Oryza sativa Japonica Group: one gene and its partner. The protein of the gene in region 1 binds, or shares a complex with, the protein of each later gene. Links are inferred from orthologs where the notes say so. Each region holds a gene or a part of one and is shown on either strand. Other genes may lie near its edges.

What was found. Proteins that work in one complex are often made in the same cells at the same time.
Region 2: NAD(P)H-quinone oxidoreductase subunit T, chloroplastic (region 1) and nAD(P)H-quinone oxidoreductase subunit M, chloroplastic share a complex: the UniProt entries of both Arabidopsis thaliana proteins name them as parts of the chloroplast NDH complex. The link is inferred for Oryza sativa Japonica Group from reciprocal best matches to the Arabidopsis thaliana genes NdhT and NdhM.

Annotation. Positions count from the first base shown.
Region 1 is NC_089045.1:6,120,510-6,126,661, forward strand, and holds NAD(P)H-quinone oxidoreductase subunit T, chloroplastic, read right to left. Parts: upstream 3,733-6,152; 5' UTR 3,676-3,732; coding exon 3,341-3,675; intron 2,900-3,340; coding exon 2,479-2,899; 3' UTR 2,212-2,478; downstream 1-2,211. Other genes in the region: pyruvate kinase 1, cytosolic, read left to right, coding at 215-283, 370-459, 774-918, 991-1,079, 1,157-1,252, 1,334-1,401, 1,477-1,576, 1,683-1,739 and 1 more; protein ACTIVITY OF BC1 COMPLEX KINASE 1, chloroplastic, read right to left, coding at 5,537-5,607, 5,689-5,758, 5,869-6,016, 6,093-6,152. UniProt on the Arabidopsis thaliana protein: NDH shuttles electrons from NAD(P)H:plastoquinone, via FMN and iron-sulfur (Fe-S) centers, to quinones in the photosynthetic chain and possibly in a chloroplast respiratory chain.
Region 2 is NC_089038.1:27,480,412-27,484,849, reverse strand, and holds nAD(P)H-quinone oxidoreductase subunit M, chloroplastic, read right to left. Parts: upstream 3,150-4,438; 5' UTR 3,110-3,149; coding exon 2,624-3,109; intron 2,470-2,623; coding exon 2,293-2,469; 3' UTR 1,929-2,292; downstream 1-1,928. Other genes in the region: uncharacterized LOC4336531, read left to right, coding at 1,022-1,098, 1,584-1,661; uncharacterized LOC4336529, read right to left, coding at 4,175-4,411. UniProt on the Arabidopsis thaliana protein: NDH shuttles electrons from NAD(P)H:plastoquinone, via FMN and iron-sulfur (Fe-S) centers, to quinones in the photosynthetic chain and possibly in a chloroplast respiratory chain.

The DNA.
Region 1 (6,152 bases):
CTGTATCAAGCATTATTGCAGACAATGAAGAACTGCATGATGTTATTTGTTTTTCAATTTTATGTGTTATATTTCATAGACATGGTGTTACTGGTTCTCCCTGTACCTGTGACCACATGTTTCCCTTAGCATCTAAGCTATTTGTGCATTAAATCTTGATATATACAATAAAGTTGTGCAACACCACTGATCCTTACATATATTTGGCATGCAGCTTAGATCTTTTCTTCAATCTCATGGCCTTCAGGACACACAGATATATGCCAAGGTTGAAAATACTGAGGTATTTACCCTGCTTCTATGAAAATATTATTGTCGGGCTTTTCACTTCCCTCATTACAATTAACTGCATTGCTTATTCCTTTCTAGGGTTTGGATCATTTTGATGAAATTCTCCAAGAAGCTGATGGCGTCATTATTTCACGGGGAGACCTGGGAATTGACCTTCCACCAGAAGATGTAAATTATTTTTTTCCTCAAAACCCCATTATACACTATTTATCCCTATCATGCTGTTGGACATGTGCATATTCATTTTATTCATGACGCCTTGCCAATAGTAGTTATGAGAATATCTTCATTATTCTGGTGCAAAATCTTATCATCAATTGCTTATCAAGTTACGCTTTAAGTGATTCATTCTTCTCTGATAGGCTGTTGATCCATCTGAAATTTTAGTGCATGAACCGTTGTTCTGTACTCATAATTTGGAAAAATGTCATGATTACATGCCTTGCTTCATACCATGACCTCTCTCACTCTTGGAACTTCAGGTGTTCATATCCCAAAAAACAGCTATTAAGAAATGCAATCTTGCTGGCAAACCTGTGATCATCACTAGAGTTGTGGACAGCATGATTGACAATCTACGCCCAACACGTGCAGAGGCCACTGATGTTGCAAATGCTGTCCTAGATGGTCTGTAAACCTGTATTATATTACAACAAGTTGACAAATTTGTTAGTTTCTCTTATACTGCAAAAATGGCAGGAACGGATGGCATTTTGCTTGGTGCGGAGACTCATCGAGGCCCTTATCCAGTTGATGCAGTGAGTACTGTTGGGAGAATATGTGCAGAAGTATGTTTCTTTCTGTCCATCAATATTGCAATAGAGCCATCCAAATTTCTTGACTGATCAATGGTAAATGCTTGTAGGCTGAGTCTGTGTATAACCAGTTGGTTCACTTCAAGAAATTAGTGAAGCATGTAGGTGATCCAATGCCCCATGAAGAATCTGTGGCATCTTCAGCGGTAAACACTCTTAATTCATTTGGAACAGATACTACTTTGCTATCAAGGATTTATTGTGATAATCCATTTTTTCACTTGTAGGTTCGCACTGCAATGAAGGTAAAAGCTGCTGCAATCGTTGTGTTCACTTTCTCAGGAAGAGCTGCCAGGTACTCCACAATTAACTCCTTTCAAGCCTCCATCATTCAAGTGCTATTAATTCACTTCATGCATCCTGTCTGCAGGTTAGTTGCCAAGTACAAGCCACCAATGCCAGTGTTGGCCGTTGTCTTCCCACGTGAGGGCTCTGATCCAACAAAGTGGCGTTCTTACGGCACAACTCAGGTAAGTAACATGTATATCTATAATATCTGTCTGGGTTTTACAACAATCTTTCATTTCGTGGAACAGAATATGCCAACTTATTTTACCACTTCTATGTTGCTTTCAGGCAAGGCAATGTTTTGCTGCAAGAGGTGTCTACCCTTTGATGGCGAGTACTGAGGAGGTATGTTGAAGTTGCTAAATACTAGAGGCACCTTCACTTTCTGCTTTTTTGCAATGCCAAAACTTGCATCTTGCGGTAGCCCACAATGCAAATTTTCTTTGTAGTTCTACAAAAATGATAGCTGCATTATCCCCTCTTAATTACCATTTGGCATTTTTAAAATTTCAACTTGTTCTTAATATGTACATATGCGTGAACACTTTCTGTAACAGGCTGAAACTGGTGGGCTCACCAGGGAAGAGTACGGGATAAAACTTGCACAGAACTATGGTCGCTCGGTTGGTATGCTAAAGCCCTATGACAGGTTGATCATTTTCCAGAAGATCGGCGATTCATCTGTTGTCAAGATCATCGAGTGTGACAGTTCGTAAAAGATTAGACACCTACCACATTCCGTCCAAGAGTTTCAACCACACAGAGGCGGATTACCTTTTTGCTTTCTTTCTTGTTTGACATGATATTGAGACTAGAATAGGGAAGGCCAATTGTGCTGTTTGGCAATTTACCCATTTTAGGTCCATACTTGCTTTTTCAATAATTTCATTCAAGAGCCTATTTACACATTGCAACAATCCAATTTTGTGGACAAAATACAGGATACAGGGACATTTGGTTACTTGGTGTGGATGTGCAGTACTTATTTCGCATTACATCATGATACACCCGTACGTATAGCAAACAACATCTTGAGAGTGTATATGTACCTGAAAATTTCTTCTTCCTGGCATGAATGAATAATCTAGTACTGCTCCTTGAAGAAGACGGCGTAGATGAGGCAGAAGACGCAGAAGATGATGATGCCGATGTCGATGGTGAGCGCGGTCATGGCCTGGTCGCTGAGGTCCATGTTGCGGCCGCCGAGGCGGTCGACCATGTCGGGGACGGACTGGTAGCTGTCGAGGTCCTGCTGGTAGGGGTCCTCGAGCCTGGACCGCAGCTGCTGGAGGCGCCGGCTCTCGGCCTCCTGCGCCAGCGTCCAGTCGTAGAACCGCCGCGACTCCTCCCGGCTCAGCACGTTGTACGCCTCCCGCAGCCGGATGAACCGCTCCGACGCCTCCCGCAGCGGCAGCGACGTCGTGTCCGGGTGGTACTCCTTGGACAGCCGCCGGTACGCCGCCTTTATCTCCTCGATGTCCGCCTTCGGTTCCACCCCCAAGAACCTGGGTTTGATTTTTTTTTTGTACAAGTTTTTTGTTGGAATTTGTTCAGGTAAGTTCAAATTCTATAGGTAGTACCAAAAATTGGCAAATTGGCAAGGTTTTGTTAGGAGAAAAAAAAATGTCCCTGCACATCCCCTAAAAATTGTCTCGAAACCAAACAATCTCCGAAAAACATCAATGGGTTTTCTGGCTAGCTCCAAGCTCAAAGCCTCGTCCCCTTCTAGTTATTTTGGTATTAAGTTATTTACTAATATTCGCTATGCATTGGAGTTAACACTCAATTGGTATTGTGACTAGGACGGTGATTTTTTTTTTCATACGGGTTGGAAATTTCGAGACTTATTCAATTTTGGTTGAAGTTTGTCCAAAATTCAAGTCATTTTGAAATTTGTTCAATTATGAATGAAGAATGGGACAAGAGAGGCAGCAGTAGCACTCAACTGGTAGTGAGACTCGGACGGGTTGTTGATGAGGTCGGCGAACCTCCCACCGAGCGGCTCCTTCTTCCGGCCGCCGCCGTCCTTCTTGGCGTTCCCGCCGACCCACCCTTCGTCCGGGTCCGACCAGTGTATCCTCGTGTCCACCGTCTTCTTCTTCCCCTGCGCCGCCGCCCCGGCCGCCGTAGCCGGGGACGGCTCCGTCTCCGGCGCGCCCCCCGCCGCCGCCGCGACGACGACGGCGACGAACGCCCTCCCGCTCCCGCGCCGGCCGTGGACGCTCGCTCGCCGCCGGTGGAGGAGCGGCGTGAACGGGGCGGATGCCGTGGACGCCGCCATGCGAGCGAGGCCGGAGTGTGCGTGCGTGCGCGCGCGCGGCGGCGCACGAGTCGAGTCGAGTGCTTTTGTTTTTGTTATTATTTTTTGAGGTGGTGGTGCATTCCAAAGGAGCTCGAGGCTGAGGAGGTGTGCATACGCTGCGGCGCGAGACGTGGTGAGGAGGCGATGAGGTGGGGCCCTGGCGTGGGGCCCACCTGCCAGCATGGCATCTCCCGGGCCCACGTATAGCTTCACGCCAAGAAAATGGGATCCGGCTCTAAATTTTAAGTGCTAAAGGGAGAGGAGCAAAGTAAATTGTATCCTGTGCTACCGTGTGGAACAGTGATTTTGCAGTTATTTACTATAGTATTAGTGGTAAATAGTAACTATACTGTACATAGATACTGCTCGCGTGTTACTCTAGAGTATTGTAGCGATCAATCTCATCCGTTCGTTATAGATCGGACGGCTGAGAATACCCTAAAGTCACAACAGCGTGCTTCTCTGACTGCACTCGAAAGATCTCAATCCAAGAGAAACGATGGAGATGAAAAATTTTAGCTATCCTTCCAACCGATTGTTACTTACGCCTATACCACATAAAACTAGAAAAATAAAGCTATCCTCGGGTAAATTGTTTTTGCACGCCACAACGAAAAGGCTAATCCACATGTTTCGTTTTGGGTTTTTGGCTTCTTGCCAGTTTGGACATGGATGGAGATTGTTTACGTGCATTGGCTCGTAGCCGGATAAATAACAGCTATATCCTCAGACCTCAGTCGAAAGAAGGGATGAAATGGCTAACGATAAATGGAGAAAAATGGGATAAAAAAATTGACGAAATGGAGATGCGGGGGATCGAACCCCGTGCCTCTCGCATGCAAAGCGAGCGCTCTACCATTTGAGCTACATCCCCGAACATGTAATTCTTTCTTTCTTAGTATTATTTTACTTGTAAAAATTCTGAGTTCGGCAGGGGAACATCTTTCTCAGGAAATGAAAATGAAGCGGCGGATTACATACGATTAATTAACTATTAGCTAAAATTTTAAAAAAAAACATACTCCCTCCCTTTCTAAGTATTTAACGTCGTTAACTTTTTAAATATATTTGACCATTTATCTTATTAAAAAATTTAAGTAATTATTAATTATTTTCCTACCATTTGATTCATTGTTAAATATACTTATATGTATACATATAGTTTTATATATTTCATAAAAGTTTTTGAATAAGACGAATGGTCAAATATGTGCTAAAAAGTCAACTGTGTCAAATATTTAGAAATGAGAGTATTGTTTAGTAGTTAAGCTGAGAAAATGTATTGTAGAACACCTGCCGTTAGATGTCGAACTGAACCAACTGACCCGATGTGCTTAGGCGTAGGAGCCGTCGGCGCCTGGTGTTATGTTTTCTTTTCCTAATCATAGTCTTCCTAGGCTATAAAATCTTGAACAGTTTGATATGAAGCCTCACACATTTTTTGTGCGGTTCGTATTTTTTAAAAAAAGCGCTTAGTTGTCACCAGGGAACTATAACATGCAAAACATATGATCTGATCTTATAATGTAAGTTTCCTCGATGTACACATATAGCTACTTTCTCCCACAATACAAGCTCATTCTATATACAAGTTCCTTTTCTTCCGCTATACAAACGGCATATACAGAGCCATCGAAAATATATAAATGAAATGCAGATGGCAAGTTTCCTATACAATGATATACTATAGAAAAGAATAGCAAACCAAATTGTGTACAGCAAAGAGGAAAAATGTAGTCATCTATATCTATCTATTTTAGTGTAGGTTAACTGAAGGAAGAATGGCTCCTGCAGGTCTTGACAGCACTTCTGCTTGCTGCTCTAAACTGTTAACCTGAGATCAGTATTGCCGATCTGACAGGATGGAATCGCTCCAAGAAAGCATGAAATCGCGCGCGACGGATGGTAAATCTGCACAGAAAAGTAAAGTAAATGCATTTCAAATGGAAGAACAGGAGAGTTTTTCCAACTAACATAGGTCGACTGACTTACCTTGGATAACCTCGAGAGCAACTGATGGAATGTCGATTTGATCTTCGACCAGTCTGTACACATCAACAAGCTGCAAAAGAGAGAAATGGGTTACAGTAATCCACTGGAAAAATTATCTTCCATCTTTCCTTAGTATACAACTTGTGTGAATACTGTAGTGAACAATCCATGTTAAAGTACCTCTTCTACATGCAACTTGGAGTCCTCCGTGAAAGCCATAATAAGTTGTCTCCTGATGCCAGCGTCGATAAGGAACAAACGTGCTCCGTCTTTTATTGTGTCGGTGAGATCTAATTTCTTCTCCATTTGTCGATTTCTCTCAATTTGCCTAGTGGTTCACAAGATCAGAGTATTTCTAGAAATAAGATTTAGAGCGTTATAGAACAGACAGTTCTGATACTCACGAGCTATTCTTTTTTAGTGCAGGATTGCTGCTCATCTTGGACACGTTTTCCTTGGCAAGA
Region 2 (4,438 bases), on another chromosome or scaffold:
TTGGTTATTCTGTTGTGTATTGCATTTTTCCTCAGAATTATATTTATGGTCATTGTAACTGGGTAAAGTTAAATCCATGGATAATCTTAATATTCTGTTACAGACTGTTAACCATTTGCACTTTGTGAATATATGTTGACCATAATTTATGGTTACATGTGTTCATAGTTTTCTCGCTCAAACATTGCAAGTTAAGTATAGTTTGTTATAACCCTTTGTTTGTTATAACCTTACAAATTAACCCTTTGTTCAGTTGTTTGTTATAACCTTACAAATTTGTTCTTAAGATGTTACATTCATGACCAATTAGTATACAGTCAAAATAGCTTATTGATGTTAGTTTTGTTCAACTGTTTGTTATAAGTTTACAAATTTCTTCTTAAGATGTTACATTCATGACCAATTAGTATACAGTCAAAATAGCTTATTGATGTGTTGGTTTAATCTCTGGAGTGTAGTTGTAGGCATAGGATCTTAGAACAACATTTTGATGTACTTAATTTTGCAAATAAGCTTGTAGGACTAATGGTTCCGAAAGGAAAAAGTGAGTGCAAGGCCAGAAGAAAACATGCCATGTTATTTTGAACAATTGCCACTGCATTAGTTTTACTAGAGTGTTGAACCTCCAAGTCTCAGTATTAAAGTATTTCTGTGCCCAAGATATCTACAGATATGGGAGCACTTTGATTGATGTTTTTTAAAACCACCAGCGGCAGTGTATGGACAGTGTCAGCTTATCAATTGGTTTGCTTAAACTTTGAGCTTATATGCAGAGATCCATACCAAGATCAAAACTAGATATTAAGAAAGTGATAGTTTTATTTTTCTTGAGAAGCTTTCTTTTATCTTCAACAGATCACTTAGCTTTCTTTGTTGTTGCTTATAAACACCATTGCCACTTTTAAATTTGACTATAAACTAGTAGCATAGCGTATTGCTGGCTGATTTACATAATGTATCTGTTGGCAGTTCTACATGGTTATTGCACTAACAAATGTCTTTTTTGTTTATTTAACTTTAGATCTCGTTGACCAAGTTATGCACACTAGCTTTCCAAATGGTTTAGCTCTGATGCGTGGGTTTTTCTTCTGGTTGCAGGTAACCTCATTAATATTGCTTTGGTTTCTTAATAAATAAACAGTGTAGGAATTACCTGCTTTCATGATTCTAGTTTGTACTTGCCACCATCTCTTTCTTATGCACAAGACTTACCTAACCATCAAAATCTTTTAGTCCCTCCACATAGAACTATTGCTAGAGCAAATGTGTTCTTTCGATAACTTATAGATGTTTTTTTTCTAAGTCGGAATAGATGGTTCATTTGCTGCTCAATATACAGTTCATTTTAAGATCAGTCTAGGTGAGCCTGATATAAGTAGCAGCGTAAACAGTTTATTTGCAGCATTACTGAATAGTACTATTTTCTTACTGCGTGGAATTGTACTCTGCAGTTTAGTACAACACAACTACCTAAGTAGCATGATGACATTAGTACTTAATGCAGCGATGGCATTTTTCTAAAAAAAGATTGAGATGCAGTTTTGTAATTGGCAATTTTTGAATTGTATGACACTCTTTTGCAGAATAATGCACATGAAGATCAATTCAGGCCATGGGTTGATGTTTCTAAAGACCACGAGGTTATTCCTTTGATCGATTGAGATTTACACATTGCAGCTGGTCAAACCCTCAAGTCCAAAACATTAAACATCTATTTGCGGGAATGACTCTCTTAAGGGTGACGTAATGTCATCAGCAGAGATTGTCTCGTATCTATATGGAATGAGATAAATAAATATATTGCCAATGATCGAGAAATAATTCCCTATTGGAATATGCGCACATCCTCTTTGCAAATAATTTAACATTGAGTTTTGCCTGTGAATTTGAGGGCTGGATTCCATGTTCTACCTGATCTCACCATCATAAAGCAATAAAGCAGTGGTGTTATTTCAATGTGATTGGATTACCTGAAGTATCGACATTTTCACACCGCTAATACTCAGCAAAAACCATAGAACGGAAATGCCATGAAACTAGAGTGCTAGACCCTTCCTTAGTCTTCACGACAGGGTAATACCCTCAGTTTGCTCAGCTTCTCTTTATGTAACCATGTTGGAGTCGACAAAATTATTATCGACTGTGAATGTTCTGCTTTTGTATGAACCCGATTTGAGTTCGGAAATACCCTAGCTCATGGCTCTTCTGGAAGAGCAAAATATACATTGGGCATCTTTGAACGGGAAAATCATTGATAGTTACATGCTTTCTCTTTAGGGTACAACACGCATTCTATTTTACATCTGGGATCTGGCTGCTGTTGAATTTGATCCTTGGTTTGCCCATGCTGAAATTGAGGACTCTAGACATCATGTTGTACTTTATCTCCCCATCGTATAGCAGTTTGCGGATGAAGTGCTCAAGATCAGATCCGATCAAACGAAGCGTGTACTCTGACAGCTCCGCGCCCTGTAAATTCAATCCAGGTCAGTTAAGCAGGTACTACCAATTAAGCTCTTACAACTAACATTTCCACCTGGAGAAAGAGACCATGGGTGTACACTACTGCTACCCTGCATTTGCAATTGCCAATTCTGCCTATGAGTTACGGTGCGTAGTATACCTCGTAGTGATCGACGAGGTCCTGGAACTCGTCGTAGACCTTCTGGCACGTCTCGTCGGTCCAGACGAACTCGTCGGTGGGGTCGAGGAGGAGGGTGAGCTTGTCCATCTGCGTCTGGTCGAAGGCGTTGGTCTCCGGGTTGATGTACGCGGCGTAGATGCGGATGTGCCGCGTCGTGCAACTCAGCCACTGCCCGCCGTACTCCCGGCTCATGTTCTTGCTCTCCGCCAGCGGCTGCACCGGCAGCGGCTGCGCCGGCCCCTGCCTCCTCGTCTTCCGCTCCCGCCTCTGCTCCTCCTCCTGCGGCGGCGGCGGCAGGTTTTCCACCGCCGCCTCCTCCTCCTCCTCTTTCACCTGCTGCTGCTGATCTTGGGCTCGCACCGGCGGGAACCTGACGCTTCGTCGCGCCGTCCACGTCGCGCGCGGGAGCCGGCGCTCGAGCGACAGCTTGGCCGGGGACAGGAACGGGGACGCCGTGGTTGCCATGCTGCGCGCAGCTGTTTCGCTTGGCTTTGGCTTGGCTTGTGTTTGTGTTGCGTGGGTGGTGGTGGTTTTTTTAGGTTTGCTGCGCCTGCGCGCGCGCGGCTAAGCTGCCGTGCCGTGCCGCCTTGGAGCCACTGGCTGTGTGTGGCTTGTGTGGATAAGGGCTATTTCTGGCACTGGGTTTCAGCGACTCGTACATGTTCTGGGCCAATTGACCACACAAATGTATTGGGCTGTGGACGTTGGCACGGCCTGTTGCATTGCATGACAGAGCTGAGCAGCACGCGCTCTCGTGTGGTATGGATAAATACTGTTGCATTTCTGACAAAACTTTGTATGTGACTGTTTTTTTATAACTCCATGTGGTGTGACGGTGATTTCATACTTAAAGAAGTAACCCACTTTTCCTCGGCACAGCAAAAGCAGAGGATACGCATACTCCATGGCCTTTAAAATAACGAGAGTAATTTTTTTTCCTTTTCACTTTGTGATGATCGCTTCACATGAAAGGCAAAGCAAAAGCCTCTGTAGTGATTTTAAGCTTTCTCAGGCGGGAAAAGTCTGTTCAGGATTACTCCATCCGTCCTATTTTAAGTGCAACCATAAATTTCCGTGTCTAACTTTGATCATCCGTCTTATTTGAAAATTTTTTATAATTAGTATTTTTGTTGTTGTTATGTGATGATACAACATGAATAGCACTTTACCCGTGACTTATGTTTTTAATTTTTTTTAAATAAGACGGACCGTTAAAATTAGGCGCGGAAAATCATGGCTACACTTAAAATGGGACGAACAGAGTAAAATACTTGGGAGACATGTACGTCGTACACCGGAGACTTGGAACACTTAAAACACTTTATTATATATAAACAACTTGTTCATATATATATATATATATATTGGGCAGTAATGTAATCTTGGCAGCAATCAATTACTACAACTAACGTGTATGCATGGTGCAGCAAATAGAATACTTACAACTAACGTACGAATGAACCAATTCAAACGAATGAAATTTAATCATGTATTTATGTACAAAGGAGAGACATAAGAACGTAGCTCGAGCTAGCCATGGACATTGGTCTGCATCGCCGGCGGCAGCAGCTCAGGAAGCCCGGGCGTCGATGCAACGATGAGGGGTATCACGGGGAGGTTCTCGCAGTTGCAGACCTCGATCATATTGCCGTCGGGGTCGTGGAAGAAGAGCTGGTCCACCACCGTCTCCCCGTCCCACACTTTCCTCACGACGAACTCCCGGTCCATGGCTCGTAGCCTCGCCTTCATGACCGCCATGTCTGAGCACTGCCATTCGCTCAAATCGAGTTAAGA